Saccharomyces cerevisiae S288C: one gene and its partner. Changing the gene in region 1 together with any one later gene gives a genetic interaction. Each region holds a gene or a part of one and is shown in the gene's direction. Other genes may lie near its edges.

What was found.
Region 2: of TRX1 (region 1) and GLR1, changing one enhances a phenotype caused by changing the other (phenotypic enhancement), as found in Saccharomyces cerevisiae (one study listed by BioGRID).

Annotation. Positions count from the first base shown.
Region 1 is NC_001144.5:230,930-233,753, reverse strand, and holds TRX1 (thioredoxin TRX1), read left to right. Parts: upstream 1-1,740; coding exon 1,741-2,052; downstream 2,053-2,824. Other genes in the region: PDC1 (indolepyruvate decarboxylase 1), read left to right, coding at 1-1,364. UniProt on the Saccharomyces cerevisiae protein: Participates as a hydrogen donor in redox reactions through the reversible oxidation of its active center dithiol to a disulfide, accompanied by the transfer of 2 electrons and 2 protons.
Region 2 is NC_001148.4:373,319-377,561, forward strand, and holds GLR1 (glutathione-disulfide reductase GLR1), read left to right. Parts: upstream 1-2,183; coding exon 2,184-3,635; downstream 3,636-4,243. Other genes in the region: SSU1 (Ssu1p), read left to right, coding at 475-1,851; 40S ribosomal protein eS6 RPS6A, read right to left, coding at 3,973-4,243. UniProt on the Saccharomyces cerevisiae protein: Catalyzes the reduction of glutathione disulfide (GSSG) to reduced glutathione (GSH). Constitutes the major mechanism to maintain a high GSH:GSSG ratio in the cytosol.

The DNA of each region.
Region 1 (2,824 bases):
AATTGTTGTTGCACCACACCTTGGGTAACGGTGACTTCACTGTTTTCCACAGAATGTCTGCCAACATTTCTGAAACCACTGCTATGATCACTGACATTGCTACCGCCCCAGCTGAAATTGACAGATGTATCAGAACCACTTACGTCACCCAAAGACCAGTCTACTTAGGTTTGCCAGCTAACTTGGTCGACTTGAACGTCCCAGCTAAGTTGTTGCAAACTCCAATTGACATGTCTTTGAAGCCAAACGATGCTGAATCCGAAAAGGAAGTCATTGACACCATCTTGGCTTTGGTCAAGGATGCTAAGAACCCAGTTATCTTGGCTGATGCTTGTTGTTCCAGACACGACGTCAAGGCTGAAACTAAGAAGTTGATTGACTTGACTCAATTCCCAGCTTTCGTCACCCCAATGGGTAAGGGTTCCATTGACGAACAACACCCAAGATACGGTGGTGTTTACGTCGGTACCTTGTCCAAGCCAGAAGTTAAGGAAGCCGTTGAATCTGCTGACTTGATTTTGTCTGTCGGTGCTTTGTTGTCTGATTTCAACACCGGTTCTTTCTCTTACTCTTACAAGACCAAGAACATTGTCGAATTCCACTCCGACCACATGAAGATCAGAAACGCCACTTTCCCAGGTGTCCAAATGAAATTCGTTTTGCAAAAGTTGTTGACCACTATTGCTGACGCCGCTAAGGGTTACAAGCCAGTTGCTGTCCCAGCTAGAACTCCAGCTAACGCTGCTGTCCCAGCTTCTACCCCATTGAAGCAAGAATGGATGTGGAACCAATTGGGTAACTTCTTGCAAGAAGGTGATGTTGTCATTGCTGAAACCGGTACCTCCGCTTTCGGTATCAACCAAACCACTTTCCCAAACAACACCTACGGTATCTCTCAAGTCTTATGGGGTTCCATTGGTTTCACCACTGGTGCTACCTTGGGTGCTGCTTTCGCTGCTGAAGAAATTGATCCAAAGAAGAGAGTTATCTTATTCATTGGTGACGGTTCTTTGCAATTGACTGTTCAAGAAATCTCCACCATGATCAGATGGGGCTTGAAGCCATACTTGTTCGTCTTGAACAACGATGGTTACACCATTGAAAAGTTGATTCACGGTCCAAAGGCTCAATACAACGAAATTCAAGGTTGGGACCACCTATCCTTGTTGCCAACTTTCGGTGCTAAGGACTATGAAACCCACAGAGTCGCTACCACCGGTGAATGGGACAAGTTGACCCAAGACAAGTCTTTCAACGACAACTCTAAGATCAGAATGATTGAAATCATGTTGCCAGTCTTCGATGCTCCACAAAACTTGGTTGAACAAGCTAAGTTGACTGCTGCTACCAACGCTAAGCAATAAGCGATTTAATCTCTAATTATTAGTTAAAGTTTTATAAGCATTTTTATGTAACGAAAAATAAATTGGTTCATATTATTACTGCACTGTCACTTACCATGGAAAGACCAGACAAGAAGTTGCCGACAGTCTGTTGAATTGGCCTGGTTAGGCTTAAGTCTGGGTCCGCTTCTTTACAAATTTGGAGAATTTCTCTTAAACGATATGTATATTCTTTTCGTTGGAAAAGATGTCTTCCAAAAAAAAAACCGATGAATTAGTGGAACCAAGGAAAAAAAAAGAGGTATCCTTGATTAAGGAACACTGTTTAAACAGTGTGGTTTCCAAAACCCTGAAACTGCATTAGTGTAATAGAAGACTAGACACCTCGATACAAATAATGGTTACTCAATTCAAAACTGCCAGCGAATTCGACTCTGCAATTGCTCAAGACAAGCTAGTTGTCGTAGATTTCTACGCCACTTGGTGCGGTCCATGTAAAATGATTGCTCCAATGATTGAAAAATTCTCTGAACAATACCCACAAGCTGATTTCTATAAATTGGATGTCGATGAATTGGGTGATGTTGCACAAAAGAATGAAGTTTCCGCTATGCCAACTTTGCTTCTATTCAAGAACGGTAAGGAAGTTGCAAAGGTTGTTGGTGCCAACCCAGCGGCTATTAAGCAAGCCATTGCTGCTAATGCTTAAACTCACCCAATGACCGATATATTGTGTTTCTATACTGTGTTTGTTATATATAGTTTACCTTTTTTAGACAAAAAAACAGAATTATATATTATCCTTATGTTTTGTTATTTACTCGGAAGCACACAATTGCCCACCACACAAAGGAGGTGGAGGAAACAATTAATTTTTCACACAAGAGGTATATATTTGGAGAAAAATGAAGAATGAGATACTTTTCTTCCGATTACTTAAGTATTACGGCTCTGAAATTTTCTCGAGCATTAGATGATTAAATCAAAATGACATAGTATTTCGCAACCTTTCAGTTGGGCTTTGTTTAAGAAGTGGAATACTTTTGCTTGAGTTGTTTAGTTTTATTTTATCCACTGTTGTCTTAACAAATATTTTCAAGACCGGTAAGCCGAAGATGAAAAATCATTATTAACTCATTTTTTGAACAAAAATATAAACAAAAGAAAGGCAACGCACAATTTTAGAGATACATAAAACGCAGTGGATGTTAAAAATAACAGCGGTACAGAAACGCCTGTCTCGCTCCAATAATAATTATACAAATTTGAAACCGAACGCAATGTGCCAAGAAATGTAAACACACTATAGAAAAAAATAGAACGGTGCACATTGTGCTAGCATATCTGCTTGGTTCTGAACAAGAAGCACCTGGCCACTTTCTCCTAGCCCAATTCTTGCCAAGTTTTCAACCTCAATCTTTTGTGTTTGAACAAGCATGTATGAGGGGTCAAAATTTAGTGGAGGCCGCTTACAATCCTTC
Region 2 (4,243 bases), on another chromosome or scaffold:
TGACAAATAAGAAATTGTTATCGTTTTTGCAGTGTATCGTATAAGGCAACAATAGCGATGTCTCCCATCAATTGACTGATAAATTCCTGCAAACTATCATTTTTTTTTTTTCATCCTTGTGCCGCGTCTGTAGCCGAAAATCTGAGAGTGCATGAATCTTAAAAAACAGAAGACTCATCGCCGTCTTTGGCACATTGGGGTTGTCTTTGACTTCTTTTGCTTATTTTTGCTCACTTTGCTTATTTTACCTATTTAACTAGAGGTTCTAAAAGAATAGCCAACCAGCGTGTAGTTCTTATTTCTAATCCTTGTCTTGTTAAGTTGAAACTTGTGATATTGGCTGAACAAATTCTCCGCATTTAGACAACACACAAATTACAGCTTTCCCCTAGTAACGATTGTTGATTGAGCTCAGACAATACGCGCAATTTAAAAACGTTTTATAGTGTAAGAGAAGACAAGTACAAGAAAAAAATGGTTGCCAATTGGGTACTTGCTCTTACGAGGCAGTTTGACCCCTTCATGTTTATGATGGTCATGGGTGTCGGCATTTCATCGAATATTCTATATAGCTTCCCATATCCTGCAAGGTGGCTAAGAATATGCTCCTACATCATGTTTGCTATCGCTTGCCTTATTTTCATTGCTGTGCAGGCACTACAAATATTACATTTGATTGTCTATATTAAGGAGAAAAGCTTCAGAGAATATTTTAATGACTTTTTCAGAAATATGAAGCACAATTTATTTTGGGGTACTTATCCCATGGGGTTAGTTACAATTATAAATTTCTTAGGAGCACTCTCGAAAGCGAACACGACGAAGAGCCCCACTAATGCCAGAAATTTGATGATATTTGTTTACGTCTTGTGGTGGTATGATCTCGCAGTCTGTCTAGTAATAGCGTGGGGTATCTCGTTTCTCATCTGGCATGACTATTACCCTTTGGAAGGGATTGGGAATTATCCTTCATATAATATCAAAATGGCATCCGAAAACATGAAAAGTGTATTGCTACTGGATATCATTCCGCTGGTTGTCGTCGCTTCAAGTTGTGGAACATTCACAATGTCAGAAATATTCTTCCATGCGTTTAATAGAAACATTCAACTGATAACGTTGGTCATATGTGCCTTAACGTGGCTGCATGCCATTATCTTCGTCTTCATACTGATTGCGATATACTTCTGGAGTCTTTATATTAATAAGATACCACCAATGACACAGGTTTTCACCTTATTCCTGCTTTTGGGCCCGATGGGCCAAGGAAGTTTTGGAGTCTTATTGCTTACAGATAATATAAAAAAATATGCGGGCAAATATTACCCAACAGATAACATTACAAGAGAACAAGAGATATTGACTATTGCAGTTCCATGGTGTTTCAAAATTCTAGGCATGGTTTCTGCTATGGCATTGCTCGCTATGGGCTATTTTTTCACCGTGATTTCTGTCGTTTCAATCCTGTCGTACTACAATAAAAAAGAGATTGAAAACGAGACAGGAAAAGTGAAGAGAGTTTATACCTTCCACAAAGGTTTTTGGGGGATGACTTTCCCGATGGGTACTATGTCTTTAGGAAACGAAGAGTTATATGTGCAGTATAACCAGTACGTTCCCTTATATGCATTTAGAGTCCTAGGAACCATATACGGCGGTGTTTGCGTTTGTTGGTCAATTCTATGCCTTTTATGCACATTGCATGAGTATTCTAAAAAGATGCTGCATGCTGCCCGTAAATCTTCATTATTTTCAGAGTCAGGTACGGAAAAGACGACAGTTTCTCCGTATAACAGCATTGAAAGCGTGGAAGAATCAAACTCGGCTCTAGATTTTACGCGTTTAGCATAAAATTGTTGGTTTTATACGTACATAATTGGCAAGCATTTCATGTAGGAGTCTCAATAGATAGTTTAATTCATTTGCACGGCGCTTTGCTGCTTTTGCTTCTTCACGTTGGTTTTCACTATGCCTGATATTTTTTGACGTCACTTAGTAAGCACGACCCTTGTCAATTTTTCGAGGATTTCGGAGCTTTCCATTTGGAATCTACTATTAAAATCAGTCTAAAAAAGTATAAGAAACACTTCTGGTTTTTCTCATGCGCTTCTCACTCTCAGTATATTTTGCTGCTTTCCTTCATATGTATATATATCTATTTACATATTAGTTTACAGAACTTTATGCTTTCTGCAACCAAACAAACATTTAGAAGTCTACAGATAAGAACTATGTCCACGAACACCAAGCATTACGATTACCTCGTCATCGGGGGTGGCTCAGGGGGTGTTGCTTCCGCAAGAAGAGCTGCATCTTATGGTGCGAAGACATTACTAGTTGAAGCTAAGGCTCTTGGTGGTACCTGTGTTAACGTGGGTTGTGTTCCGAAGAAAGTCATGTGGTATGCTTCTGACCTCGCTACTAGAGTATCCCATGCAAATGAATATGGATTATATCAGAATCTTCCATTAGATAAAGAGCATTTGACTTTTAATTGGCCAGAATTTAAGCAGAAAAGGGATGCTTATGTCCATAGGTTGAACGGTATATACCAGAAGAATTTAGAAAAAGAAAAAGTGGATGTTGTATTTGGATGGGCTAGATTCAATAAGGACGGTAATGTTGAAGTTCAGAAAAGGGATAATACTACTGAAGTTTACTCCGCTAACCATATTTTAGTTGCGACCGGTGGAAAGGCTATTTTCCCCGAAAACATTCCAGGTTTCGAATTAGGTACTGATTCTGATGGGTTCTTTAGATTGGAAGAACAACCTAAGAAAGTTGTTGTTGTTGGCGCTGGTTATATTGGTATTGAGCTAGCAGGTGTGTTCCATGGGCTGGGATCCGAAACGCACTTGGTAATTAGAGGTGAAACTGTCTTGAGAAAATTTGATGAATGCATCCAGAACACTATTACTGACCATTACGTAAAGGAAGGCATCAACGTTCATAAACTATCCAAAATTGTTAAGGTGGAGAAAAATGTAGAAACTGACAAACTGAAAATACATATGAATGACTCAAAGTCCATCGATGACGTTGACGAATTAATTTGGACAATTGGACGTAAATCCCATCTAGGTATGGGTTCAGAAAATGTAGGTATAAAGCTGAACTCTCATGACCAAATAATTGCTGATGAATATCAGAACACCAATGTTCCAAACATTTATTCTCTAGGTGACGTTGTTGGAAAAGTTGAATTGACACCTGTCGCTATTGCAGCGGGCAGAAAGCTGTCTAATAGACTGTTTGGTCCAGAGAAATTCCGTAATGACAAACTAGATTACGAGAACGTCCCCAGCGTAATTTTCTCACATCCTGAAGCCGGTTCCATTGGTATTTCTGAGAAGGAAGCCATTGAAAAGTACGGTAAGGAGAATATAAAGGTCTACAATTCCAAATTTACCGCCATGTACTATGCTATGTTGAGTGAGAAATCACCCACAAGATATAAAATTGTTTGTGCGGGACCAAATGAAAAGGTTGTCGGTCTGCACATTGTTGGTGATTCCTCTGCAGAAATCTTGCAAGGGTTCGGTGTTGCTATAAAGATGGGTGCCACTAAGGCTGATTTCGATAATTGTGTTGCTATTCATCCGACTAGCGCAGAAGAATTGGTTACTATGAGATGAAGCAACGAAACTAGACGTCCAATCTGCTGTTGCTATACTGGACTTTTGTACTCTTGTAAACAATCTTATATAGCATCCTGAAATACGTAGTAATTTTGTCATTTCTGTTCAAGGACAAGGGTTCCTTTTTTTTTCAGACTATTAGCTACTGTGGACTCGCTTGGATATTCAGTTGAGGATACATTCCGACTCTCGTTTACAATACATATGATTATTTTTCTTTTTGTTAATTATATAAAAAATAAAGTTATTTGATTTTAAGCTTAAAAATACACAAAATACAGAATAAGAAAGGAGTTTTTGAACAAAAGAATTTATCTTTTACTGCTTTCTAACTTTAAGCCTTCAAAGAAGAAGCTCTTCTCTTTCTGATTTCAGCCTTCTCAGCCTTTCTTTCAGACAATCTCTTAGCCAACAATTGAGCGTATTCGGCAGCAGCTTCTCTTTGAGCTTGAGCGTTTCTGACCTTCAAAGCTCTTTGGTGTCTCTTTCTTTGCAATCTTTGAGGAGTAACCAATCTTTGGATCTTTGGAGCCTTGGTGTAAGTCTTTTCACCCTTGGTGACTTCTCTTCTGATGACGAAATCACGAACGTCATCTTCCTTGGAC